Linked DNA regions of Tamandua tetradactyla. The protein of the gene in region 3 interacts with the protein of the main gene of each other region in a pairwise test. Links are inferred from orthologs where the notes say so. Each region holds a gene or a part of one and is shown on either strand. Other genes may lie near its edges. The genes, in order: RAB11FIP2, MYO5B and RAB11B.

Region 1 (9,576 bases), on a different chromosome or scaffold from region 3:
TAGAGGATTTTATAATAGAAAGCAATAATTAAACTGAGACTTTAAACTGAAAAAATCCCTAATCTGAGGCAAATGGTGAAATCTGAAAACATGGGGATTAGAAATAAGAAATCATAGCAACAGACTGTGGAATAGAAAACCTCGAGCAACACAAAATTGAGCACTCAAAAGGCCTGGAAATGAAACAAGAGTGGGTACCCAGTTATTAACTCATAGTTCCGAAAACAAAGCCATTTTCAATGGGGGGAGAAATACCATAACATCATCAGACTATAGAGAATAAATGCACTTTACAAAAAATGTAATTCAACATACCAACAGCAGTAGCAGAGAAGCAGGTAGGATTTCCATGTGTACAAAAGATCAAAGCAGGTGTGAGAAGAAAATAAACCATCCTAACCAAGGTGAAGGATGGTGCATGACGGTAAGAAAACAGAATTTTAGAAATGAGACCAAGTCAGTCATCTACTTTACCAATCTTATCCCATAGATGAGGAGACCAAACACAGAGAATGCCAGGTAACTTCTCAGTGGCAGATTACAGTCAATAAGGAAAAAAATCCAAAGCTGATGGGTAACATCTGCAGGAAAATAGAAATTCTTTCTATCTAATGACCCACATATGTTAAGGTTAAACACAAAGCTGGTCACTTATTCCGGGACACTGTATTTGATCAGAAGACATGACAGCCAAAGAAGAAAGCAATATAGATTTTCTATTGCTAGAGTGTAAGCTCCTAGAAGCCAGTGTGCCTTGTACTAAATTAATGTTTATTGAATTTGTGCTTCTACCACCCTTTTTCTAAATCAATCAAGCTACAAATCTATCTCTGTGTATCGTTTTGTTTTGTTTTGTTTTGTTTTTGTAAGGAACTCTGAAGACTTAGGTTAAGTCTTAAAGAAAAGAGTAAGTCGTTGTTTGGATACAAACTACCCCAAAAGAAAACTGCAAATAATTTTTTTTTAATATACTAAAAAATGGAGGCATGACAAGTAATTTTACCTGCTTTGTTTTCAAACTGTAATAACAGGGAAGTCTTAATGAGACCTTCAAGAATCATTCCAGAGATGGCACTGATTTTCTGAAGCTTCATAAAGATAAAATGAAGACCAAGCATTTGGGGCTTAGGGGATTAATGCTGCTTTTTTTTCACCTCTGGAGTACTGGATTTAAACTGTATGGCCTCGGTTCAATTTCTAGTGGGCACAGGTCCATGTTCAAAAATCACCACACATGTGGGAACTATTCCCAAACAATTGGTGCTGTGTGGTCAGAAATGGGACAAGATTGGCAGTAAGGGTGCCAGAGGCCAGGATGCAGGTGCACTGCAAAGACGCACACAAAAGTCCTGAAATCTGCATGTGTTTGAACCATACCTAACTCTAGGGACTCTGATCATTATTACTTCTCAGGGGCATTAAAAAAAAGTCAATATCACCCACGTCTGTTGTAAAAAATAAATAGATATTACATAACAGCATGAACTATTTCACCATTCTATTATTAAACTTTGTTTTATTTCCTTAAATCTTGTGCCAGGATTAACCCAGATACCCATTAAAGTGGGAGATACAGCAGTTCTCTTTCCAAGCCCCACGCAAAGTGTTCTTACCCAAGCCTCTTTCCTCCTCTCCTTAGAAGAAAAAAAAAAAGCATTATTTGAAGATATAAAAATAAATAAGATAATAGTTTTAGCCATCACACTTCTTTGCCACAAATGGAAGATGGGCTGTATTTGTCTTTAGTGTCAAAAAGTAAAAAGTGTCACATCCCACAGTTCCATGGGACTTCTAAATCAGCTGGTAGCCTTCATCACTCATACTGGTTTTCTAAAAAGCACTTGGGAATATGCTGACAAGGTTCAGCAATGTGCAGAATATTAAATATCTTTCTTGTAATACACTAGTGACTCAAGTCCGTCTCTTATTGCGCCACATGCACAGCTGTGTTGGAAAAAGGAAACTATTAAATATATTAAAAAACTGGAAATATTACCAATAAAGATACCTCATTGAATATGTGGTCCCCATTTATCCACAAAGAAAGAAAATACTAAAGGTACAGTAACAAATGAAAATCACTTTGAAAGTAGTAACATCGCAAGACCTGCTAACATTTAAAAGCATTTTCTCCCCACCAAAAGTTACAATCAATTTTATTTAGTATACGGCATGGAATTCTGTAGGGAGAAACAACAATACTGGAGTGCTACGGGAACTTATAGGAACTATGATGCTGCCAAAGACGACACACAAAACAAGAAGAAACTTTAAAAGGCTATTTCACCATTAGGTTCACACTTGGGCCTACTTTCACTTGAAAAGTTTGTATTTCAGAGGAGGCCTATAATACATTATCAATATTAAAAATCCTGCAAATACAGTTAAGAAACTTAAAGCTACAACAGATTTAAAAATTTACATTCAACACATTTTAAAATATACTGTCACCCCAAACTGGCAATTCAGAACGTGGTGACTAACCACTTCTCATTTTAAACTGTATGAACTTCCCAGAGGAAACTAAAATACCACTTTTTAGGTAACACAGTTTTGTTATTGAAGTCGCTGCATTACAACTTTACATTTTTTTCTTTTTCTCTCCTCTTCCTTAAAATAATTTCATCGCCTCAATTAGTTTAAATATTTATCATTTTCCTCTTACATTCGGAGTATCTTATACCTTTCTACTCATTTACCCTGCATATTTTAAACCTTAGGTAAAGACCTGATAATACAAATTCCAATCAAGAGAAGTATGCAAGCAGACATTTACAGAAAAGAACAAGAGATAATTATTTTAAAACGGACACTTTAAGAAAGTTATCACTTTAAATATGATTTTAAAGAGGTACATACATTTCAGTTATGACAAAGAAATACCAAAGTAATCTCAGGAATTTAAAGACTTCAGTTTACACTGTTTTTTTCTCTCATTAATTTTAATGTTTTCTCAAAATAAGTGCAAATTTAAGAAAGTGATGAGTATATTGAGCTCTGAAAACATTTTTTCTCATTTTCAGATAGAGTATTTTAGTGTTAATTAATATATTTTTTAAATAAAAGTTAACTCACTGAAGCTTGAAAGTCACACTATGACAACTATGCTATGTTGATGTCATTAAATCATTTCATCACAAGAAGTTAGTCCTTGCCGCCAATCTTCCAGCATTTAATATGGTCTAAACACACTGGCTTTGCAGAACTAATTCTGAATACACTATTGTCAATATATTGTAAATTCCAAGGAAAATGCTGTTAATACATTCAGGGTTAAGAATGTTTGTACATAGTTTTAAATTTTATTTTTTTTCTTTTAACAGCTTTAAACTCTATCAACACGTATGGACCCTGAAAAATGGCTAAGCTAAAATAAAGGCCAATTGTGTTTATAATTTTGAAATGAAGTACTGAGTTTTAATTTTGGTCATTTATCTTTCTGCAATTTCGAAGTTCAACATTCGTATTAAAATGTTACATTTCAGGTTTAATTTTCAGATGTTCCACTTCATCAACAACTCTAGTGTTTAAAGATCGTAAATTGTAGGCATGTTAAGTTTTAGTTGGCAATCCTGTGATCCAGTCTTCTTACAAATAGTGAAACACTTTTAATTTACTTGAAATCCAAGGTAAAATATTCTATTTGATAGCTATTTACCTCAAACAGAAATGAGAATAACGGATTAATGACTCCGTGGAAAAAATGTTTCCTCACAGATGCCATTTTTACGTCAGATCCATGCAAACATGGTGCTTAAAACTTGGTCATATTTTAACCCAAAACTAATGCCCCAGGTAAACAAATAATTTCCAAAAATAGAAAATCCATAAGACATATTTAAGCGCCCCCAAATTTAAAATAAATTGCATAACTTACTCTGTTTTCCTTCTTTGTTTGTCCTCAAAGATGTCATTGAGATTGATTGCCACCTGCCCTAAAAATTTATCCAGACCCACTAGGGACCTGTGCATAACTATGAGGAAAAGAATGTATTTCTCTGGATTCCCCTGCATTAGCAATCCAGGTAGCTCAAAAGAGGCCTCTTCCTTCCAGACTGGCTCAAGGGTTTTCTCAGCTACAGAGGTGGAGTATTTTTCCTTGCCCAGTTGAATTATAGTGTATGTGTCATTGGTGCCACTTTTGCCTTTTGGTTTAAGATCTTTGGCTTGGAGCACTGTGACCTGCACGTGGGTTGGAAACCACTTTGGGGCTTGCTCTGACAGCATCATTCCGCCTTTTTTGCTCTACACGGAGTCCACGAGCGCTAGCAGTGCCCCTCGCGGAAGGAGACCCTAATTCTTTAATTACTGCATCCTAAGGCCACTTAACGGTGAGCTGCCCAGTTTCCCTAGAGCTAATGTCAAAACGGCCGCCGGACTGGGGCAGTCCGGGGACTCGGCTGTTCTGGGTTCGCCTTCCCTCTGGAGTCACAGGGCCCACCATCACCTGGCCGCGCTGTCCAGGCCTCCGTGTGGACCCCGCGCCTCGCGACTCCACCTTCACGCTCCGCGGCTCTCAGGGACCAACCCTGGGCAGCGGGCGGCTGGCGGCCCTGCGGGCAGGTGAGGCCCGGCCACCTGGGCCCAGGCCGAGAGCTCGGAGGTGGGAAGGAGGCGTCTTTTTAAAAAGTGACTGGTGAGCCCTCCGCCCTGCAGACGACAGCTCACCGGCCCGGACTCTGCAGCCCTGGCCTCCCGCCCGCCTTCCCGCGGCAGGGCCGCCCAGCCTCCTGAGCGCCTCCCGCCCACCCCGCGCAGGGCCACGGCCCGGCCCGGCTCCTCCTCCCGACCCGGGTAATACGAACCGCCGGCGACTCGCGCGGCCTGGCTCCCTCTCACAAACCGCTCCCTCCTCCTCCTCCTCCCCGTCTCGCCTCGGCTCCTCCTCTCGGGCGGGGGCGAGTCGCCTGGGGGTGGAGGGGAGCGGAGGGGCGCGGCCGCCTCGGCGCCGGCAGGACGAGGGGCGGGCCGCGGGTTGCTGGGCGGCGGCCACGGGACTCGGCCTCGCTGGGCCGGCGGCTCCTAGTACCGGGCGGGCTGCAGCAGCGCCGGCACTTCCGGGTTGTCTTTCTCCATGTTGATCTCGGAAACGCAAAGGGGCGGGGCTAGGAGAGGCCGCGGGGTCAGGGGTCAGCACCTCCCTGGTTGCCATGACGACTGGGGGCGCGCCGTCTGGGCTGTGGCGAGCTTTGGGGCGGTGCTGCGGCCCGGAGTTCCCTAGCCCGTGCGTGGTGCGACTCGGCAGGATGCTTTGCCCGTCGCCCGGACACGGTGGTGGGCGATGGGGACACGGGATCCTATAAAGGCAGACTGGGGCGCTCTCCCCTGAGGAAGAATTTAGGCCCCGGGCCTGCCCTAAACTAGACACACCCAAATTAAGCCTTTGAGAGTAGAAAATGCCTTGCTGTACCCTGGGTGCCCAATGCCTGTACCAAGTGGAGGGCAAATAGTGGCGGAATGAACTGGTCCCCTTCATTGACCTAAAGCACACATTTCCCCCATGCCCCTTTATCCACCGCTCTCTTTTTGAAAGGAGAGAAGACCGTCAATTTACTGGAAATGACATCTCCATGCAGAGGAAGGGAGAAAGGGAAGCAGTTACAAAAGATTGCAGAGCTAACGCGTAGTTTAATAAAGATCTCGGGAGGCACTGGGTCGGAGCCAGAAGACCTGGTTCCAGCTCCATCTCTGCCACCATCGGTCAGTCTGGGCGACCTGGGCGGGTCATTTGACCTCCCCAGGCCTTAGATTCTTCACAAGTGAACTGAGGTTCTCCACCGTGTCTCAGATTCCATCGTGACTCCATGGTCTCAACATCAAAAGGAACCCCCGCCCCGGGAACTTCACCTGGAAATCATCCCTTGACTTCGGAAGCCAAGCCCTGTGGACCTCAGAAAGACAAACGGCTTGTTTACTTCACCATGGGGGACAACTGCCATCCTGTGCCTAAAGCAAGGACTGGATGAGCACCAGTGCGGTTGGAGTGAAGAAGGCTTTGTTAAAAAAGAAAAGAGAGACAGATAATACTGAGCCTTTTCTGGAACTAGCCTAATCTAGCAGAGAAAGTACAGATTATGGTTTAGGATGGGTCCGGTGTTTTGCCAGTTCTTTCAGCTGCGGGACCCAAGGGACTTCACTTCTGTGAGCATGGATTTCCTTGTCCATAAACTAGATACAATACTCATTATAGGGATGAAGGGAATATTATGAAATAATAGACGTCTGATTCCGAGCACAATGTGGTACACAGTTCTGTCTCCCTTTGCCTATTTCTCACCTACAAGGGGCACTTCCATACTACTTCTATTGCATATGTTTCTGCTCATGTCTTTTCATCTCGAGGAGAGTCTAAGCTCTCAGACTGCTTTGTGTACCGTGGAATCCTCTCATAACATACCACCTGCCCTTCCATTTATTGAGTGATTTAATACCTTTTCTCCTTTACAAGGCTATATGGTAGATGTGAATGCACTTTGCAACTTAGAATGCCCATACAAGTGTAAAGTATTTATAATTTTCAGGTTAGGTTCAAAACTTCTACATTTGAGAAGGACTTTCTGTGCTCCATGTTTTCTCAGTGTCTCCATTTTTACAAGATCCTTTTTGCAACACTCAAAACTCTAAGAAGCAAGTGAAGTTAAGGGTCTTTACTCTGTAGTCAATACTGTTTTTCAGTGGGGGCATGTGAGAACCCAGCATATTGGTGTTAGAGTAGCAGCCATATAGTTGGAGTGAGGTGGGGTGGGGTGGGGGTGAGGGAACTGCATTAATTTAATCTTACAGCCTCTGTAAGAGGCTTGACTGGAAAGATAGCACCACAAACCTTGAAACCACTCAGATTCCAGCATATTCTTTCAGGGATCCACTTACTTGCTATTGTCTATAGATTTCCTACATTTGTTGTAAACTTCAGTATTTTAATTTGCTTACACTCTGTGGCTGCATGAGTTCTGCATGGTGTGAGTCCTCCAGAAAGAGACACTGGGTTAATTTACCACCAAGATCTTCCGAGAGCTTAGCTACAGATACATCTTGAAGAAGCCAAGCTAGATACCTAGGATCTTTTCATCTAGGATGAAAGAACCTAAGTTTTAAATCATCTTAATGAAAGTTTACCATAAAATGAAAAGTTAACCACGAAATGGAAAAAAGAGGCACAATTGTCCTCCTCTGGGAAATAGTAAATGAAAAGGCCATGTACAGAAAGTAGAACAAAATCTGGGTCCCAGAGTGGGCGATTGTCAACTTTAAAGAAAAATATTCCTGGGGAGTTTTAAAGACTACATTGGAATAGTCAATGGTGGAATTTCAACAGCATCCCGAGGGAGAAACACTTTGATACCTGAAACTTAAAACAAAATAAGCATCACAAAATCAAACTTAAGTTTAGAATTTTTGTAAATTGGATTTTAAGTATTCATGTCTCTATTAAAGTTTATAATTAAATAAACAATAGGCAATTATAATACTAGCTGTGTGTTTCTAAAGAGTTTAAATTGTTTGGTAAGCTTTATTAAAGATTATAAACTTGTTTACAAGTATCAGTTCACTCATCTCTGAAACATAGTTATCTCTAGGGTGGAAGTTGGCAGCAGTAGTTCACAGCAACCCAATAACATTCTCCAACACAATTCGGAGAATACTCTAAAGTATTTGACCTGAGTATTTAACTCAAGAGCTGAGCAACTGGAATCACTAAATCTCTTCCTGTAGTACCTAAATTTCTTTTTACTTTTCCCAAAACCTGGCTAGAGCCAACATTGTTTAGTTTTACTATCTGGCAAAATCAGAAGTTATGACTTTATTTTTGTAAGTCGGAATAAGAAAACAGCATATTTGAGGCCATGAGGGGAAAGAAAAAAAACAAAATGAGTTAAATACAATCTGGAATTACATTACAAAAATGAAGTAGCTTCCTTTTAGAAAGTGTTTTATCATATTGTTTTGGTTTGCTTTGCTTTCTATTGTATTAAGGAAGTTAAAACATAATAGTTGGGTCAACTATGTAGATGGCTCAGGGTGAAAAACAATGGCAATTACATAAGATCCGGATCAGAGCAGTTCAGCCAAAATGTTTATTGTCTTACAGTTTTAAAAATTCTTTTTACTAATTTTACGATATACTTGGACAGTAATTTAAAAAGGGAAGAAACAGCACATGCACAAAAACAGCATGCCAGAATCGAAGAGAGTCACTTTTTTTATTATCCTGTGACTAATGATCTGTCTGGAAACATTTGGTACAATTCCAAAGTCAAGCGCTTGGGAAAATAATATATCTTCAAGGGGGGAAATGTTGAAAATTCTAATTTTAAACTGTTAAAATGCTGCTACAATGAATAACAGTGATTGGACCAGAAAGTAAAGATAGCCAATACTTATTCCTCAGTAGTGGAGGATTTCACAGATGAAAATATTTACTAAATGTTATAAAGTCCCAAAAGGGAAGTTCATGTTATAGCAGATTTTCTATAGACATCAGCATCTCTATAAAGACATTTTTCAAATCTATTGTAGGACAATTATAATGCTCTCAGTGTTTAAATAGTTCACTTGGTCAAGAGTGTTGATGCTGCCATATACATTTTGTAATGGATAATGATTGTTTTCCAGATGGAGATCTTTCAGAGACATGAGGGAAGCATGAGTCTTTCCCAAAGCTTCATTACAACCTTCAGACTTCAGACGCACGTGTGTGTGTGTGTGTGTGTGTGTGTGTGTGTGTGTGTGTGTGTGTGTACAGTTCAAATATATAAGCAGCTCAAATGTGTATACAATTTACATACATAAGGCAAAGCTCCAGAGTTATTTTGGAAATAGATCAATCCATCTCCATATAACTAGTTATAAGATAAAGAAAAAAAAGTGAATTGATTTGAAATTATAATAGCAATGTTTTGTGTGTGTGTGATTTTTTTGTTGTTGTCTTCATCACTAAACTGATTAATTTGTCTTCTAGAATTAGACAGTGTATGGCCAGTTTGCATGCCAGGAGAAGTGAGAGTAAAGGGCCCTAGTCCAGTCAAAATGGGATCTTAATAGCAGTCTGCTTTTACTAGCTGCACATCTTTAGAGTAAATTTCCCTCATTTGGACTCTGTTCATCTGTAAAATAAGAGAGCCCTAACAGGAGCCAGGAAAACATCCCTTAACGTTTAATAATTTTGAATAGTACATCCACAACACAAAGAAGCAAATTACATTGTAATTACCTAATTGAATTTGGTCAATATACTAAGGCAAATTCCCTTTTTTAGTAATTTATTAAGAAAGATCCTCTAATTGGGGAGAAAAAAATCTTCAAGATGTCCTGAGTGCTCTCTCTCCCAAATGAAAGTAATTAATGATCACAGTAAGAGAGGAAATATAATATTTATTATAGGCTCTACATGAGGAAATCCACACCAACAGCTCAAGATTTGGAAGAAATTACATTCAAGTGCATGTGGTTTTGAAAAGCCTTAAACTTTTCGTTTGTAATAGACATAACTTCTCTTCATATTATTTGCAGCGCTTTCGAACTGTGAATGCATGCTGAGGAGAATAAGAATGAAAGCAAATACATATTCGCATGTAG
Region 2 (9,836 bases), on a different chromosome or scaffold from region 3:
TGACAATACTCAGGCCCTGATAACCATTCCCCTGGCTCATGAAGCAAGGGTTCCACACTAAGAGACGCAAGCCAGAGGACCTCAGGCTGCTGCCCCCACCACTAAATACTCAGCAACTAGAGCAGGAGTGCCACTCAGAAAAGGCTTAGCAGGGTCCACACTTCCACCCAACTCCAGAGCTCTGGCTCAACAAATGGCTCCAAGTCTCTTCCATATGAACTGACATCATTGCAACAGAGTATGGAATAGTTTAAACCTAAGGACTCTCTCAAGAACAGTTGAGAGCAGTGATGAAAAGCAATTTGGAGGAGCAGTATGGATCTAATGAAGATATAGACTACAGGCTGGCCATAGGGAGGAGAGAATCAGGGTAAACTTGGAGAAGTCTTCCTAGGGTCAGAACAGATACCAAACGCAGACCTCAAAAACTACTCCCTTCAAAGAAAAACACTTTGATTGCATTAATAGAGGAATTTATGCCACAAGACACCATTGAAAACAATAGAGCAATGTGGTCTCCAATGAGCAGTTTAACAGTTGGGTGTCATAAAGGAAAGAGAGGAAGAAATTACTTGCAGCCTTCTCAGAGTGGCAGGGGCTTAACCCTTCTGGAGGGAGGTATGATAGACTCACTAAAATAATACAACCAGTCATGAAATTAAACAAATTACAATAAACTCCGAAGGGAGAGGGGCATCAGTAACCATAGTTGCTACAGTATATTATCCAAAATGTCAAGCTTCAAGCAAAAAATTATAAGGCATGTTAAAAACCAAACAAACAGGAAAGTATGACCTATATAGGCACGTATAATTGTCCGTGAGTATGACCAGATGTCAGAATGAAAAGAAAAAATCTTTCAGATGTAAAAATGCTCACAGAAGTAAAGAAAGCAAAGCAAAAGATGGTTTGACAACATCACATAAAATACAGAATATAAATGAAGAAATAGAAATTACAAAGAAGAACAAAATGGAAAATCTGGATTGAAAAGTAAATAACACCAATAATTCACTAGCAAAGCTCTGGGTTGTCCTCTTCCCATGAAGTCAAGGACAGCATTAACTCCTACCTGCCATTACGTAGGACAATATTCACAGAGTATTGCCATCCAGGGAAGCTCACCAGAGCCTTTGGTGCCCAGAGCTTTGGACCAAATACTGCCCAATCGATTAATCTTTAGGCTCCAGCAACTCTAAGAGGTCAGGCTGACACCTTTAGTCTCAAGTCCCTGCAGGAGGCAGAATTGATATCGTGTGGTCCAAAGGTCCTATGACAAATCACATTGTTAGGCTGCCCTGTGGCAAAAGCTTCCAGACAAAGACACCTACCAGGCATAGAGATCACCCTGCAGTAGCTGAAGGAAAAGGCCAGTCTTCTCTTCAGAGAAGGCTATTTCATCATTACATAGGTCACCCCTTCCTCTATCCCAAAAGACAGCCATTAACTTGACAATGGATATCCATTAACTTGATAGTGGAGCGATTCCCTCACATATGCATATGTTTACTTTGACCACATAAAAATACATCCATACATCTAATATTATTTGGTTGTATACTTTAGATAATGGTAGCATACCATGCATATTCTGTAACTTGATTATATTTCATGCACCACTGACATTTATCTTGTTGATACATGTAGAGTTGGTTCACTCATTTTAGTATTCTTTTGTATATGTGTGCATTTGTGTGTGTGTGTGTGTGTGTTTGTGCTGGAATTTATCCACCCCCTATTGGTACACCCTGACAAGAGTTCATTCACTCATTAATTCATTAACTATTACTCAGAATTTACTATTGCACCATGTACTGCTCCAGCACTGGTGTCAGAGAAATTAGATAATGCTTGCATTCATACCAAAAGAATTCCCTTATGGAAATGCCAAGTTTGGGGACATACCACTGACTCTGCCAACAGTCAGCTGGATGTTTGAGTCTAGACTCACAGAAGGAGGTAAGGCTTAAGAAATTAATCTTGAACTCTTTGCTTAAGGTGGAGGGTGAAGCCAGAAGAGTAGTGGAGCTAACTAATAGAACACCTATGACCAGTTAACCCACAAAACTATGAAAAATGAAAACAAATTGTTGTTTTATGTCACTAAATGTTAGGGTGGTTTGCATGCAGCCACAGATAACCAAATTAGGAGGTCACTCTACTGGTTTCCCCAAATCAGACTCGGGTAGTAGTAGGGAATCATGAAAAGAAACCACAACAAAGGCACAGCTGGCACTTCTGTGCCATCCCAGTATTTCAACTTACTCCCAGCAAGAATATGAGAACATGCTTAAACTACAACCAGGTAGGAATTTGATGTTTGCAGTGTGTTTTTAATAATTGCTGTTTGCTGCCCTACCCGCTCTAGAAGACTCTACCCTGGCCAAAAAACAAATCAGAAATTTTGTTATAAAGCAGAATGTTTAAAGAATACCGTACTTGTTTGCATGTGTCAGTCATCTATGCAAACATGCAAAATCCACCAAGCGATCATGTAAGAGGTAACAAGAGAGGCCCAGGTGTTTATAAGGCAGGGCTGAAGGACCAAGTAATGAAGCACAAGGTAATACTTGGAGGCTGCCAGCTGTGACTTATCAGACACCTTTCTCCAGAGGTAAAGCCTCCTGTGCGGAAAGTACAGTAATACTAGGTGCAGGCAAACCAAGACCAGAAAGGCTTGGGAATTTTGCCTTCTCTCCATTGGGGACAAGAAAAACTTGTACATAAACTAACAACATAAGAAGAAAGCTACCAGGCAAGGGCCACAAAAGCAGTGGAGGCTGGTGCCAGAGATACTCGGCAGCAACAGGACTCCCTTAGCTAGACAGATTAAAGAAGGCTTCATGGAAGCAGTGATATCTGAGTAGAGCTTTGAAGAATACGCAAAGTGTGAACATGCAGACACTAGGAAAAGGAGCCCTGCGTAATATACAGCAGCAGGAACTGCGGTGAGGAGAGCCTGCTATAAAGAAGATGGAATAAAAACATAGAAAGTCAGGAATACAGACAGATCACGTAAGACCCCAACACCAGGGTAAGGAGAGAGGACTTTATGATAGGGAGCTACTGAAAGTTTCCGAACAAGATAAAGGTGAGAGTTCAGGAGTGAGCCCCAGGACGCTTTGCCTGGCAGGTATCTGTGGGAATAGTTACCATACACCTCAGAAAAATAAATCCATTTATCACCACTACAGACACAGCTCATGTACAAGTGGCAACCCTGGTGAAATCACAGAGACAAAATATTTTTCAGATAACTTCAAAAATCGTTAGGACAAGAATTGTGTTCTGTTTAATCCCAGGTTAGCTCATTAAGAATAAAACTGCTAGAGCAATAAATTTTTTAAAAATCTACATTTTGACATATCCTTTCTGCACAACTCAATCTCACCGTCTTTCAAGGACTAGCTTGAACTGTACTTCAGATATAAATAATTTTCTTTAGCTGTCTGAATTATAGATTTGAGAGCACACTGCCATTAAAACTTCTGCATTCATAAATGTATAATTTATATTTCCCCTTCTAAAATGATTTGTAGTACAGAAATACTTTTCATATTGTCTTGTTCACCCTGTTTTGCTTATTCTATCTTATCTACCCATTTATATTATAAACTTCTTTTTGAACAGGGCTTGTATATTCCTCATTCATTCTTCCAAAATCCTCCACGCAGTAGGAGGCATACATCAGTGTCCAACAGATTCTTCTTAACTGATTTCCATTGCTCCCTGTCCTGGTAGTAACATTTGAGGGGAAAGTCTCCCTAATACGTCCATTATTCGTGGCCAGTTCCTCTGGCAAAGTAATCTTCTGGAAGTCATGAGTTTCTTTTTTAATATCCTTTAAAAAAAATTTTATGTGTATCTTAGGCCCCAGTCATAGGAACCATTCTTCATGGAGGGAGATGCATAAAACTAATCCAAGTCTGCCCTCGGAGGGAAACTAGCAGGGGCACAAGCTGAGGACAGACTCTGGGGTCTGACCATGATAGTGGGAAGGTCACCCACCCACAGGGATGCCAGGAAAGACAGCTAGAGGGTATTAACTAATATCCCTTATCAAGTTTTCCCCACATCCATCTGAGATTCAAACACCAACAAGCACATGCTGTTACCCTCGGCATTCACACCCAATTGTGAAATCACCACCATTCCACCAGACGTGAGTTTTCTGAGGCTGCTTTCTGACTCCTTTTGTTATAGTTCTTGAGGTTTTGTTTTTTTTAAAACTAAGGATTCAAAATTGCTACTTCAAAAATCAAAGCCCAGTGGCACCCTAGTACCTTTCATACTGCAGCCTTCCACAACTGACCTGCTGGGTAGTACGGAGCAGCACATAACTGCCTCCTGGATCCATCCCAAAGAAGCCTCATTGTAGCGCCAAGTCCCCTCTAATATGGCCCCACATCCTCCTCAAATTAAAATAAGGGTTCCCTTTACCAATATTTTTAAAAAAATGTGTTCTAAGTTCTAAGTCTGGAACACAGAATTCACTTTTTCTATAGAAAAACATCCTAGAAGTGGTAGGTTCCCAGGGCAACCCAAACAGCCTACCTACTTAGGATTAGTATAAATGTTTCTATGAGGAAGTGACTTTCAAATCAGATAGGAGGTGTGCGCCTGTGTATTCCTGTGCCACCAGCAAAAGGGAATTACCCCTGCAGTTATTGGGGACCCCAACTAAAGACAGGGAAGGGCGACAGCCCCACCCTTGCATCTGGACCCACTGCAGCCACCTGCCACCTGTTCAAAAGAAGCTGTAACAAAGGCCTCAACCACCAATGCACTGAAGGTTTGCACAGGAAGCACTAAATATCTAGTGATCCAGTTAACAACTTTGATTTATCAATGAGTATTTAGTAATACAAATGTTATATATTCCCCTCCTCAACCCAGAGTGATATAAGCTCTCTCCTCTCAAGGTATTTACAACTTTATCTGAGAAGTCTCTTAGGGCATTAACAAATTTTACCCATCTTAGGATGCTATTTGAGGACAGCCCTTTGTGGCCATTTACAGATAGATGAAGTAGGTATGGACAGAAATTAAGGGATGTACCTAAAATTAAAAGCTACTGAGAGCCCTCAAACAAACCCAAATCTGGCTCCTATCCTGCCTATTCTCCATGGTTCCAGGCTGCTTCTCTTCTCTGATCCTGCAGGAGGCTTTGGGCAGCCATTTGTTTATCAAATGAGCCACAAGTCCTAAAGCTACCTGATTTAACACCACACCCTTTTATAGGTAGCTCAGCACCTCTAGACTTCTGTTCAGTATTTGCTTGCAGCTTCTGCAGATTTAAACTCCGATCTGCATATAGGCTTATACTAGAAGTTTTCCAAAACTTCAAAAAATAACACACTAAAAGGTTAAGGAAAAAAAAAAAGCGGGGGGGGGGGGATGGGGCTAGGAAACAAAAGGGCCTGGCCAAAGAGATGAGAATGCACTGAGGCCATCCTCAAGTCTATGAGAAATAGGGGACCAATGTGATTACCTACACAGGGAGCAATCAAGAGCTGTCACTGGAATTATAGCCAGACTCTCTGCCAGTAGACTTGGGATATTTCAGGGCTGTTACTTCATGAGATTCTAGCATCCGTTATGCTTCTAAGGGTTTCTAATTTCAGCTGCAAAAGACAAGAGTCCAGGAAATGAGGCAGACATATCTAAAAGCCTGCAGAAACAAAGAGAAGCATCCACAGGAATAACTGCCTGCCTTGAAGGGATTTCAAATAAGAGGCTCAAAGATAGAAGATTAGAAGAGGAAAATGATAGGCAAGAAAACCAAAGTAGCAAACATAGCCCTAAGCTGAAATTCAGAAGAATCATGGAACCAAGGAACCGTGATGAGAGAAGCATTAAAAAGAGACGACTGGCTCTTGTATTTGAAATGAGATGAGACCAAAAAGGTTAAGTGGCAAATTCAAGATCACACCGCTTAGTGGGGAAGAGGGATTAGCGTCTACTAACACACCTCAGGTGCTCAACACACCTCAGTTGAAGCAGAACGTGTTTGAAGACCGTAACTTGGGCTAAGAGTCATTTTATAGAGAAAAAGCACCTAGTCTGTTCAAAGAGCTTAAAAGGGTTATGAAGAGGCTGGTCAGCTGCTTGGCTTTCCAACCGAATGATACTCAGTTTCCTATAAAAGCCACAACCATGAATGAATGCAGTGACATACTGGAGTTCAAAATGGAATTACGGGGTGGGGAAGGGAAGAATTAGAGTGTAATAGGGAAGAACAGAACACATTAGCTACATACTTTAATACTGGCTGATTTACTGAATCACTAAATAAGTGTCAAGACTGTTGGGTTCCAAAAATACTTCATTTGCAAGAATTTGAATGTCTCAACACTTCATAAAGGAAAAAGACTGATGGATTTGACAACATTCATTTTTCAGAAAAGTTTTCCATAAATAAATGACTGAGGAGAAACATTCACAAACCTACAGAAGACAAGTTTAATATCTATTATTCACAAAGCACCTATAAATCAGTAAGTCCAAACTTTGTAGTCTGTTATTCAAGGCCCTCTGGGGTCTGACCTGCTACCAGCTACTTCCTCTCTCTCTCTTTCATTCTGAAGTTTATGATGTGCCTGCTTGTACCAGTGTCAGCCTAAGTAAGCACAAGTCCTGTGACTCTAACCTGGTTCACAGCGTTCAGCTTTTAAACAAAAAAATTCCCCAGCACCTGCCTTGCAATCCTGCTGCCAACTCTCGTCCTAGTCTTTAACTTCCTGCTAGACCCCTGTGACCAGTATTGCTGGAGCCACAATATATTCCTATCTCTGGGTTATAGTTGCTCCCAGCTCCTCTGGTAGACTCCAGCTAAGCCAGCATCAACCCTCTAGACTCACCTGGCAAAGGCCCACAGTGCCAGTGTTTCTGCTGGGCTTGTCCAGGAGAACTGTCACTGCAGGGAACATTAAGCCAGTGAAATGTTATTTCCTGAACAAGCCCCTAGATTTTCAAAATATTGTTGCTTATACTGCTGCCTCTCCCTGGAAGGGTATTATTAGTCTCTCCCATCAATCCCTCTTTTTTTTTTTTTTTTTTTTACATGGGCAGGTACCAGGAATTGAACCCAGGTCCTTGGGCATGGCAGGCAAGCACTCTTACCTGCTGAGTCACCGTGGCCCGCCTGAATCCTCTTGAAATCCTACTCACTTGTTATGGTTTAAGCCTTCCCTAACCTTCCTTCCATACTCATTCCCCATATATGTTACTTCCCCTCCCTCTCCTGCAGACTTTCTTGTTTCTCATGACATGCCAGCGTAACCTGGCTCATCCCTGTGCCACTTACACATTTATCTCAAGCAAAATGTAGGCTCCATGAGAGCAGACACTGAGAATTAATCATTCTTTTGATTCCCAGCCCTGGTACACTACTTGGCCCATAGAAATCTTCAACAGAGTTATTTAATTGTACAAATGGAACTTCTCTGGTTCAAGTGTGACTTATAAAATGGTTTTCAAAACAGTAAGAGATGTTTCAAAACTTCTTGAGCAACGACTGTATTGTTAGAATCATCCTAAAATGATTTAATTGAACAGTAACACTTATTTAGACATGAAAGTTCTGGTATGCTTATTAAAAGTCATTCATCAGTTCATAGTAGAATATAGAACTTATTTCCGAGGCAATAAGCCTGATGAATTTATTTCGACATACAACAGGCCAAAAGTTTTAGGTCCTGAATGAGAATGGCGGGATTTAGACAAAGGAAGAGCCCAAAGGCTTGGAAACAGACATGAACTTATACAGACAAAGGTATTTTAAGGTAGACAATGAATGTCTGTAAGCTCTTCCACATTATCATGGTGACCCAACCAACTGCTCCCACAAAAGGCCATCTACTCTTGGAGCAGAGGCATGTAGCTCAGGCACAACCTAAGTCAACTGAAGAAGCAGCTTCTGAGAAGAAACCTCCAGTGTAGAAGAGTTCAGAGGATGGAGACAACTCCCACAAATAAAGAAAAAAACTCCCATGGATGCCAAGGCCATATCTGCTCCCTCTGCACCCAGCAAACTGTCACAACTTTAAACCTGTATACTCTCCCAAAGAAATATGATGAACAGGTAACAGTGACGTATACCAACAATTCAGGTACAACTATAAGAGTAGACTGGCCCTCAGCAACTGCTGCCAGACTTCAAGCCCATATATCATTTTGTTTCCATTTAATCCATTTTCTTTGATCACAGACCCAATCCACATCCCAGCACATCTCAATCCGGAGCTCCTCAATTAAGTCTAAAGATTGATTCATTTTTTCCAACCTAAGATATCTATGTTCTTATTTTCGTACTTACTATCAGAATAAAAACACTAGAAATACAAAAACAAAATTATCCACAACCAAAGATGAGTGCCAAGGAAGAATGGTAAATGGGTTTGGGTGGGTAAAGTAGTTCAGATAATGGAGGCCTCTCAGGACAGGAAGCTGTCTGAAGTCCCAAAGCAGGTAAGCTGTGTCTGAAGACTGTGTTTCAGAACAGTTAGTCCAGCAACACTGACACACACAGTAGAGGCTTAGGAGGACATGAGAGAACAAAAGCATAAGATGACTATGGCTTCTTCCTCTCCCAAAGGCCTGGATTAGATCCAGAATCACCGACCTTACCTCCTACGCAGGTGAAATGTAGTTTGTTCTTGGGATTTCACCTCCGAGGGTTCACTAGAGAACACAAAGTCCTTAGCTTTAAACCAGAGGTACTCAACCAGGGTCCCCACCTCTGAGACATTCAGTCATTTCTGAAGACACTTTCAGTTATCACAATTGAGGTACGGGATGTGGAGGCCAGGGATGACATCAAACATCCTGCAAAGCACAGGTTAGCCTCCTTCCCCACAAAAAAGAATTACCTGACCCCAAATATCAAGATTGACAAGACTGAGAAAACTGCTCTGAGCCCATCATTCAGGAAAAGGCAGATCTATCTTGGACCCTTTTCAAGAACAACGACAAGTGCCAAGACAGGCCATCGTCACTACACCCTTGCTTAGCAGCCCAGTCCCAGAATCCATACCCTGACAACACAGGTTCCTGGCACTCAGGTCGGAAGAGAGAATAAGTCAGCAGCCAGGCAAAAACACAACAAACTCCCAATTTTCTACTCGCTGGAATAGCACTCTTGGGGACATACGAGAAACACCCCATTCTACACGCAAATGCTTGTTGAAAAGAAACTGAAAACGAAATTGAACTTGGAGAGGTGTGTGGTTCTTATAACTTCAATGAGGGATTTAACATTCTCATGGAGTAAAAAAAAAATTAAAGCATTCCTTCCTAAGTTCCTATTTCTTATAAAGTGTTCCTCTAAAATGTGTTCGCCTTTAGTTTTCACCAAGAGATTCATAATTTTCTAAACTGACCTCAAAAGCATTTCATTTAAGAAGTTTTAAAAAGCTGGTTTTCTAAAAAATTCAATTGTCTTTTATTATGATAGATTTCAATAAAAAATTTTAAATCATGAATCGAGGCATGACTAGCAATCACCAAATCTAATGATCAGTATTTAGCTGATCATCAGAATCCCCTCCCTTCAGAAATTTAAGACATAGATTACCAGGCCCCACTTACAACTTACTAAAGCAGAATATCCAGCGGTAATAGCAAGGAAGTATGTTTTTAATTTAATTCAGGGATCAGCAAACCACAGCCTGTGGGTCAAACCCAGTACTCCACTTGTTTTTTAAATAAGTTTTACTGGAACACAGCCATGAAGTTTCATTTATGTATTTATTATGGCAGAGTTGAGTAGTCGCCAAAATATTACAATTACAGAAAAGGTCTGCCAACTACTAACTTAGAAACCCCAAGGGATTGTT
Region 3 (10,239 bases):
CCTTTTGCAGGCTCTAAGCTTACATCAGCCCTCTGTTCAAAAGGGAAACAAGCATTAGAAAAGTGTTACAGAGAAATGAACACCAAGTGAGCCTCTCTCCTTGGTAGGTGTTCTAGTTTGCTAGCTGCTGGAATGCAGTATACCAGAAATAGAATGGCTTTTAAAAGGGGGAATTTAATAAGTTGCTAATTTACAGTTCTAAGGCCGAGAAAATGTCCCAATTAAAACAAGTCTATAGAAATGTCCAATTTAAGGCATCCAGGGAAAGATATCTCGGTTCAAGAAGGCCAATAAAGTTCAGAGGTTCTCTCTCAAGTGGAAGGGCACATGGCGAACACAGTCAGAGTTTCTTTCTATCTGGAAAGGCACATGGTGAACACGGTCAGGGTTCCTCTCTCATCCGGAAGGGCACATAACAAACACGATGTCATCTGTTAGCTTCTTCTCCTGGCTTCCTGTTCAATGACGCTCCCCAGGAGGCATTTTCCCTCTTCATCTCCAAAGGTCGCTGGCTGGTGGGCTCTCTGCTTCTCGTGGCTATGTCATTCTGCTTTGCTCTCTCTGAATCACACATTCTCCAAAATATTTCCTCCTTTATAGGACTTCAGAAACTAATCAAGACCCACCCAAATGGGTGGAGACATGTTGTCACCTAATCCATCTTAACAACCACTCTTGATTAAATCACATCATCCAGGGAGATGATCTGATTACAGTTTCAAACATAAGGAATTGAATTGGGATTATTCTGCCTTTATGAAATGGGATTTAGATTAAAATATGGCTTTTCTAGGGGACATACATACTTTCAAATCAGCACAGTGGGTAATAAAGGGTTTCAAGGAGTGAAAAAGAATAGGACTTTCCCACTATGTGGTGCCATGTTATTTAATGCACTATCTAAAACTATCACCCACGTCACCCATGCCAAGCTTCCCAAACTTTGAGGTCTGTAATAATTTGATGCATGTGTCTGGGATTCATGTCTGGAAAACACAGCACCCATGCAGGCCCTGAGCCTCAGCTGCTGCAGATATCCTGTTTCTGTCTCCCAGATACCCTCTCCAAGCATTTGTTTTAAGTTTCCCTTGGGGAGGTGGTAGAGAAATCTCTGTGGTTTTCCTGTGCCAGGACTCTTCCTGGGAGATGCTGGGGACTGGGTAGCTCCTTGGGGCTGAATGTGGGTGATGAATTTGTCAGCGCTGTAGAGGTTCTAGAGCTGCCACTCCAGGGAGCCTGGAGGCCAAGTTCCTTGTTTGGGGGGGTACGCTGGGAAGCCTTGGAGGGTATCCTTTGAGCCCACTGTGGCTGAAGAGGTGGGGAGGTAGGTTCTGCCGCAACAGTCCAGCCTGTGGAGTGGGGTGGGGGGGGTTGTGTGCCAGCTCTGCTCTCTTCATTTTCCGGTTCAGCCAAAGAGGGCTCAGCTCTCTGACTTCTGTCCTTATCCTGCCATACCCCTACTTCCACCCTCTCAGAATTTCCTGCATCACCGTGCCAGGAAATAACAGAAAAAATAGCCACCACTGTTAGGGAGTGACCAAGGGGTCAGGAATTAGGCAGATGTGCCGATGCGAGAGCTGGAGCTCTTACCCACGCATTCTCCTGGGTGACCAGGGACAGGCCACTAAAGCTCTCTGCCCTTAGTCCCTGCATCTGGAAAATGGGGACAGTTTTGGTAACACCCCCCAACGCTCCCTCCAAGCTCATTCTCACAGTGCTGTAAGGATTTAATTCAGCATTACATGAAAAACTCTCAGTACAATGCATGGCTCACAGCAAGCATGCAATACATATTAGCCACAGATACTATTACTATACTGCTATGAGCCATGCTGGGGCAGGGGGTGGGTAGTGACTGAGACAGTGGAAAAGGGTTCATGGTGGAGGTGGCTTTGAGTTGTTTCCAAAGAAGGATGAAAATTCTACCAGGGAGATAGGGACAGGGAGGGCATTCGAGGAAGAGAGCACTGCTAGAGCAAAAGCAGAGTAGGGCTGCTGTAGGAAAGTTTGGTGGTTCTCTAGAAAGTTAAGTATAGAATTACCATAGGAACAGCAAATTCCACTTCTTAGGTATATCTACCCCAAAGAACTGAAAACAGGAACTCGGAAAGGTATTTGCACACCGATGTTCATGGTAGCATTATCCAAAATTGGAGAAGAGATAGAAGCAACCCAAATGTCCACCAATAAGTGAATGAATAAACAAAATCCACGATGGAATACTATTCAGCCACAAAAAAAGGAATGAAGTTCTGACACATGCTACAACATGGATGAACCCTGAAGACATCATGCTGAGTAAAATAAGCCAGACTAAAAAGGACAAATATTGCATGAGCTCACTGACATGAAATAATTAGAATATGCAAATTCAGCCCAAAATTAGAATACAGGTTACTAGGGGCAGGACTGGGGGATGAGAAAGGTGAGTTAAGGCTTAATTAGTATGGTTTCTCTTTTGGACAATGGAGAAGTTTGGGGAATGGATGGTATTGATGATTACACAGCACTGTGAACATATTAACACCACTGAATTGCATACTTGAAATTGGTTAAAATGGGAACTTTAATGCTGTATATAGGTTACATTTATAAAAAGGCATAGTGAAGGGAAGTGCATTGAGTGTGTGGGAGACCAGTGGGTAGCCCCACCTGGCTGGAGCATGGAGCAGGAAGTAGGGGCGGTGGACAGGGAACAGCAGTGGGTTGGGGCTGGAATGGCTAGGGCTTTGAGCTCCCTGCCCAGGAGTTTGCTGATGTCCTCCCTGATCCAGCCTCCAGCCTTGCTTTCTTTCTTCTTTTTTTTCAATATTTGTATTGAGAAATCTTCACACATGTACAGTTCATCCATAGGATACAATCAATGGCTTGCAATATCATCATGTGGTTGTATATTCATCACCATGATCATTTTTAGAACATTTGCATCACTCCAGAAAAAGAAATACAAAGAAAAACCCATGCGTCCCATACTCCTTACTCCTCCCACTCACTGACCACTAGTATTTCAATCCACCCAATTTATTCTACCCCTTATCCCCCACTATTAGTTATTTATTTCCCCCTCTTTTTATTTTTTTCACTCATCTGTCCATACCTGGATAAAAGAATATCGGACACAAGTTTTCACGATCACATGGTCACATCGTAAAAGCTATATAGTTATACAATTGTCTTCAAGAATCAGGGCTACTGGAACACAGTTCAACAGTTTCAGGTACTTCCCTCCAGCCACTCCGATGCACCATAAACTAAAAAGGGATATCTATGTAATGCATAAGAATAACCTCCAGGAGAACCTCTTGACTGTATGACGTTTCTCAGTCAACGAGACTTTATTTTGTCTCATTTCTCTCTTACTGCTTTTGGTCAGGAATGCTCTCTCAATCCCTTGGAGCCAGATTTCAGCTCATCCCCAGAGTCCTGTCCCACGTTGCCAAGGAGATTTACACCCCTGGAAGTCATGTCCCACGTAAGGTAGGAGTAGCCTTGCTCTCTTGCCTGTTATCTCTGGCCCATCTCCCTCCTGTGCCTCATCGTGGGGTCACCATGGCCTGCTGGCTGTTTCTCCACCCACCAGGCTCTCTCTGTTGTTGTTTTGTGTGCCTATAATATTGTTGTTCCTTCCTTTCTCCCAGTCCTAGGACCAGATCCCTCTCATGGTTCAGGGCTCAGTGCAAATGCCACGTCCTCCAGCATTGTGTCCCTGACTCCCCAGCTAAGGGGCTCCCCATCACGTAACCCAGTTTCTTCTTATTGCACACGTACCACCTCAAAATGACTGGGCTCGTTGCTCATATGCTTCTTATCTAACTGCCCCCACTAACTTGTCAGTTTCATGAAGGCTGGGACTTGGTCTTGGTCAATGCTGCATCTCCAGGACCTCAAACACTGTCTGCAGCATAGTAGGTGTTCAGTAAATGCTTATGAATGAAGGCCTAAAAGGTTTTTAGACAGGGGAGTTATATAATTTAACTTATGTTAAAAAAAAAAAACAAAAACTCTTGCTGACTTCTGTGAGAACAGACTGTGGGACATAAGGACCAAATTCCAGACACCAGGGAGGAGGTTACTGTACGAGGCCAGCGGGTGATATGGAAGCCAGAGTCAGGGTGGTGGGAGTGGAGAGGATGACGTGATCAACAGAAGCAGAAATTTAGGAGGGAAGAGGGTCAGGATAAGGCAATTGAGGAGGTAAAGGGAGGGGAGTGGAGGAAAGAGAGAGTGGAGTTCACCACCTCTTGCATTGGTGATTGGGCAGGAACGGAGACCCATGAGGAAGGGTGAATTTGGAGAAAGAGGCCATGTTTGTGCCTAGGATGCCTGAAGGACATCCAGGAATGCGGTTTACGAAGCAGTTAATAATAACTGCCAAAACTAGCACATGAGCAACTGAAACCGAGGAGTTAGGATTTAAGGAATGATTTTGATTACCGAATTATTTCATAAATACTTCTTTTTTGCTTTCTGGCATACCCGAGTAGGCAGATTTCAGTACCTGACCTCTCTGAATTGCAATCCGGCTGCCTTGATCTCTGACAATAGCTGTACAGCCCTTCTGCCCCTGTGATTGTGACTAAACCTTGTGACTACTCTTCATCTGTCCCTAATTATTCAGTTTTTCAACTTTAGAGTCTTGTAATCACTAAAGATAGCCCCTAATGTGTGTTAATGAAGTCCCCCGAGTCCCAAATTATCTTGATGACTGAGACTGGATCTAGACAAAGTGGGCCCTCCTGATATGCGCAGTAGCTTAAATTTGAATGGGTAAGTCACCTATCCCTCGTGATAATACTAAAAATCATGCCCGTCATTATATTAAGGCCGCTATTTTCTTACCAACACTGTGTGACTAAATGCATACTCAATCTGCACATGTTCAATAGCAGATCACCCCTAATTACATCACCTGGGGCCAAAGTGCCCATTGTCCAAAACCCTGCTCACCTTTTCTCTAAAAAAAACTACCCAAATTACCACAGTTCAGGGAGAGATTTGGGGCCGTTAGGCTGTCTGCTCTCCTACTATGTGCACAACAATGAACTCTCTCCTTAAAACCCCTGGTGTCTCAGGAATTGATTATTGAGCGCCTTGGGCAGAAGAATCCATGGACTAAATTTATCTGTTAACATTCTGGCTTAGATTCTTCATCATTGAACAAACACTGAGCCTTGAGGATACCGCAGATACAATCCCTACCCTTACGGCATTCAAAGTCGGAGCCAGAGGACATAAACGAAACAGGCAAATGGATCAAAGGAGGAAGACAGGGCCACGGTGGCTCAGCAGGCAGAGTTCTCGTCTGCCATGCCGGAGACCCGGTTCCATTCCCAGTGCCTGCCCATATTAAAATCAAATTTAGAAAAAAAAGAAAAACGGAATGCATACTTGCACATCAGGTGGTAATAAATATTACGGAAACAAAATAAAACAAGTTAAGGACACAGAGAGGAAAGAAAGGCCTTGCTGCAGAATATCTGGTACCCACTAAGGATTCAGAAATACTAAATAACAAACACTTAAGGACACAAAGTCGACGGTTGATATACTATGGACGCTTTTAGGAAAATCTATTCATCCTCAAAAAGATTTCCAGAAGGTGAAAGTCTTCACTGTTTTGTGGAGGGAGGAATCCGAGGCGCAGGGTGAGAAGTAACGCGAGTCACCAACACAAGGATGGAAAATGCAACCGAGAAGCGACAAGCGCCCTCCAGACCGCCATCTAAGCAAAGAGGAGCGAGCGCTCCGCAAAGGCCGATGATGTCATCGGCACGCTGCGATCTGTAACGTAGCTTCTCCTGAACGTGGCCCCTTTTCCCTTCCCAGGCGGGTCCTCGGGTAGTCGGGTAGGGTCTGAATCAAGCCTCTCATTGGCTGCTCATTTCATCAATCCCCTTCGTTTCCCTAGTCTTCCGCCCCGCCTTTCCGAGTTCTGCTCTGATAGGCCGGCGCGGCCGTCACTTCAGAAAGATCCGCATTCCTTCCGCCTTTCTCCAGGAGACGGACGGTGAGGAGGGTGGCTCTCAGGCAGTGCCCACCCCGGAGGCTCTGCTTCCGCCTCTGATTGGCTGCTCCGGGTGTCGGTCGCTACGGCGCCCGCCGCTGTTTGGCCAGCCAGCCCCAGTTCAGCGCGGCGCCGGCTCCGCCCCCATCGGGTGTTTGTGGTGGGGCTGCGGAGTCGCCGATCCCGCCGGAAGCGCCAGGACAATGGGGACCCGGGACGATGAGTACGACTACCTATTCAAAGGTGCGGCCGCTGGGGCAGAGCCGGGCGAGGGCGAGGCGGTGGGCAGGCGCGGCGAGGCTGCGCTCCGGGCCTTTGGGCCCTGGCAGGGATCCGGGACTTGGAACCCGGGGGGAAGGCCGGGAAAGGCCAGGCTTCGTCAGCTTCGGGCCGGGGTGCACGGCTGTATGGAGCGGGCAGCCCCGAGAGGTCTGGGGACGCGGGGTGCGCCGGGGCGGGACCGAGACCTGAAGGAGGTGGGACAATCCGTTGGGGGCGGGGCCTCCGGGGGCGGGGCCGCCCCAGCATTTGGCGGGCCGGGCCGGGCTGAAGCGCCACTCGTGGTGGGGGCGGGGCCATTAGAGGCGGGGCTAGAGCCTGTGGGCGTGTCTCCGTGGGCGGGAGGGGCCAGGCCTGGGTGGGGGCGGGGTCCAGGGTCAGCGCCCTTGGGGGCGCACAATGGGAGGTTGGGTCGAGGTGAGGGTCCCTCGGGAGGTGTGTGGTGCGAGGGGGAGCCTGGACTGGGGTGCGGACCCCTAATCGGGTGGAAGGGCTCCTGGAAGGGACCATGTCTGAACCCAGGCGTGGTGATTGAAAGCAAGAACTAAATGAAACGCTTGATGGTATCAACCATGTACCTGCACTTCTCTAAGCACTTTACACGCAAGCGCTCACTTAAATCCTTACCTTGTGAGGTGAGTAGTATTCAGCCTCTGTTTTTACAGACTAGGAGACTGAGGCCCAGGGAAATAAAGGCCCAGCCAGAAAGTGTTGGAGCAAGACTTGAATCCAGGCCGGCTGTGGCCTTTATCATTTAGGGAGCATGTTTGGGGGCCTTGTGGCCAAGATCTGGGTGTTAAACCCTCTCTCTCCAACACTTGAGCACTGGTGTCCTGGACCTTGGCCGTCCTGCTGGTGGATCTTCCCTGCCTAAGGAACAGATGGCTACCAAGTAAGGCCCAGGCAAGGCTAGCAGCTTTTGCCGAACTGGGGCCAGCTGGAGAGCCTTTGCTTTACCCCTCGAGCTGGGAAGACTCCCTTCACATTATTAGAATCCCTGCTTTCTCTGCTGGGCAGGTTGGAGGATCACTGCCTTTGCAGTACCTTGCCTGCTGAGCTCGGCTTTGGCCAGGTTCTCTGCCATGCCTGCTGGACTCTCGGCTGGCAGTGGCCACCCTGGAGACCTAAACCCTGGGTCCATGCACTACACCTTTGCCCTGCTGCCTGGTGTGTCAGCACCTTGGGACCAGGGCTTTGGGAATATAAAGAGTAGGGTGGAGCTCTCCCTACCTAGGATATCCACATTAGTCAAAGGTTTCCGGGCTGAAGGAGAGCCTGTGTCAAGGCCCTGAGTCAGCCCACAGCACCATGGGCTCAGGGGGTTGCAAGCAGGCTGATGTGTCGCTGGCAGGGCACACCAAAACTCACGTGCCTCCCAAGCCTTGGGTTCTTGGAGACTTTGGTCCTCCTCCAGCTGGTTTCCCATCTTCACTCAAATCACCTTAGGGGGCTGCTCCCCTGCTCATAACTGAGCACCCGTCTGATGTGGCACTGCCAGGGCAGGGGGATTTCCCCCCCAGGTGCCACATCCTGGTTTCCATTGCCCTCCCTTGCTTGTCGGGCTGTCAGTTTATTGTCACCCTTTTGCTTTTATAAACAATCAGATACAAATCATCTACTTGCCCTTTGGATTATTTCCTTGAAGTGTGTTCCCAGAAGTACAGTTACTGGGTCAGGGGCAATAGAGCAGCTCTGCACTTCTCAGGACTCATCTATAGACTCAACTTCCTGGAAACACAGATCAGGTCTTACGGTAGCGGGCATACTGTGAGGGCCACCTGTCCCCTGTCCTCCTCTACTGACCCTGTTTACCTAAGCCAGTGGTAGCAAGCTGCTGAACTCGATCTAGGGTGGTAGCAGAAGTCTAACTCACAAAGTCAGCATTTCTGAAACTCTGTTCATCCAAGGTCTCACCTTCCAGCAATAAATATCTTTTCCTACTTTTCTTTAAATCCAATAAGTTTTTCACTAAGTTAGGTGTATTAGACAAGGAAGGAAGGAAGCAAACCAGCAAACAAACCACCACCATTACATCACTGCCACAGATATGGAGGAGGGGAAGGTAGAAATGTGAATATGTACACCCCCAGACCTGGGGGCCTGCTATTGAGGCTCAGGTCTGGGCCCACCTGCCAGAGAGACATAGAAAACACACCGGCCCTGAGCCCCCTCCTCTCCTCTCCTTGCAAGGGTCAGACCTGTTGACAAAAGCCAACTTTTTCAGGACCTCTGCTTGCAGGACCTCTGCTTGCAGCACCCTGGAGTCCCCTGCCCCCTAGGCCTTATTTGTCTCTCTCTGGATTAGCCCCTGGACCAGTGCAGCCATTCCTCTCTGCTCGGGACCCTGGGCTGCTCCTTGTTCCACTCTCCCACTGCCACCCTGTTCTGAGCAGCCACATCCCACAGTGACTCCCCCTGACCTCAACAGCCAGCAGATTCCACGGGCCTGCTCTCCACGAACATGTGCTGTTGTTTTCCTTCCTGTTTCCTCTCCCCCTCCCTGAGAAGAGGAATGAAGTTGTTTATTTGGACCTAATTATAGGCCTTCACATTTATCCTCATAACATTTTATCCTGTTAGCCCTGGGCTCTTTGCCCAGGTTGCTCATTGATTGCTGGGGTGACTCCTGAGCTCTCCTCTGATGAGTTGGACTGCAAGGTCCACCATCAGGGGGCCCAGAGGCTTCCTCAGAGCTCTTTCTGGATCCCCCAGCCAATCAGTGGCTCTGAGAAGAAGGGTGGGTGGCAAAGGAAGCTGACCACAGTGGCCCTAGGCTCATCCTGTGGGTTGTGGCCACCTCTGCCCCATTTAGGAGCCCTTTAGGGAAAAAGGGTGAAGAGAAAATAGCTGCTGGTTCCTAAGGGACTGGACCAGCCCTGGTGCGTGCCCTTCTCTGCTGAGCTCTGTTGAGCACTCTCCAGGCAACCTCCCTGCCTCCAGCCCGGACGAGTCCCACCAGGCCCTGTGTCCTGATTGCTGGCCTGGGACCTGAGCAAATCATCTTCCCCAATTGCGAATGGGGGCCCGCTGGGCCCATCTTTGGATACCTCTGCTCTGCAGTTCCCTTGGAAATAGCTGCCACACAATCCACCTGAGCCTCAAACCCTGAGCCCTAGAGAATGCCATGCTGTCATGGGGCAGGGCAGGGGACCCAGGGCTTCCAGGAGGTGGCAGCTCTTTGTTTTTACCAACTGGGTTTACCCGTTCTGTGAACCAAGTGGCAGGTCCAGGAGGGCCGTTTCCTAGCCAGTGAGCCCACCGGCTTCTGTGGAAATGCCAGGGGCTATGTCCTCAAGGGCCCTTTATTTCCCCAAGACAACAGGTTGTTTATACTCTTGACAATGCCATGTTCATTCGCAGTCTGCGCTCGGGCTGGCCTGGCTACTGCCCCACTGGCCCCCTCTCTGCACTAGGCAGTGTGTGCCAGGGACTGCTGTGGCAGCCCAGCTTTCCCACTGGTCATCTGGTCAGGGTCTGGTTGGTCTTCATCTTACTCTGACCTCCATTGTTCACACTGGGTGACTTGGGGCTGGGAACTCTGTCACTCTGGGCTGAGTGTTTCCAACAAGGTAGCAGGAACAATGTTATACTTAGATTTCCCCCTAAGAACTTGACATGCTGAGACCCACAAAACGTAAGAGTAGGCCTGGTGGAGTGGCTGATGGAACTCTTGGCTGATCCAGGCAAACTGATGGGGCTCAAAGGACCCAGGCTGGACAGTGGAACAAGGTAGGGAAGGGCATGAGGGTTGTTGGGGGGACAGGACACCAAGACAAGGCCAGAGAGGGCCCTCCTCATATCCCATTCCAGTGCCGAGACATGAGAAGTGTGAGCAAACCTGGCCTAAGCCAGATTCCTGCCATGGGCAGGAGGTGAAGGGTGGGTGGCATGGATGATGGGACCCGTGGTCCATCCACCCTGGCCTGGCATGGTTGGCTGTCCTCGGCACAGGGCCA

What was found.
Region 1: the proteins of RAB11B (region 3) and RAB11FIP2 interact in binary tests that used the Homo sapiens proteins (3 or more experiments, as listed by UniProt). The link is inferred for Tamandua tetradactyla from reciprocal best matches to the Homo sapiens genes RAB11B and RAB11FIP2.
Region 2: the proteins of RAB11B (region 3) and MYO5B interact in binary tests that used the Homo sapiens proteins (3 or more experiments, as listed by UniProt). The link is inferred for Tamandua tetradactyla from reciprocal best matches to the Homo sapiens genes RAB11B and MYO5B.

The regions. Positions count from the first base shown.
Region 1 is NC_135339.1:80,407,063-80,416,638, forward strand, and holds the start of RAB11FIP2 (rab11 family-interacting protein 2), read right to left. Parts: upstream 4,719-9,576; 5' UTR 4,231-4,718; coding exon 3,878-4,230; intron 1-3,877. UniProt on the Homo sapiens protein: A Rab11 effector binding preferentially phosphatidylinositol 3,4,5-trisphosphate (PtdInsP3) and phosphatidic acid (PA) and acting in the regulation of the transport of vesicles from the endosomal recycling compartment (ERC) to the plasma membrane.
Region 2 is NC_135344.1:32,698,480-32,708,315, reverse strand, and holds the start of MYO5B (unconventional myosin-Vb), read right to left. Parts: upstream 4,460-9,836; 5' UTR 4,358-4,459; coding exon 4,313-4,357; intron 1-4,312. UniProt on the Homo sapiens protein: May be involved in vesicular trafficking via its association with the CART complex. The CART complex is necessary for efficient transferrin receptor recycling but not for EGFR degradation.
Region 3 is NC_135337.1:84,843,105-84,853,343, forward strand, and holds the start of RAB11B (ras-related protein Rab-11B), read left to right. Parts: upstream 1-6,071; 5' UTR 6,072-6,207; coding exon 6,208-6,247; intron 6,248-10,239. UniProt on the Homo sapiens protein: The small GTPases Rab are key regulators of intracellular membrane trafficking, from the formation of transport vesicles to their fusion with membranes.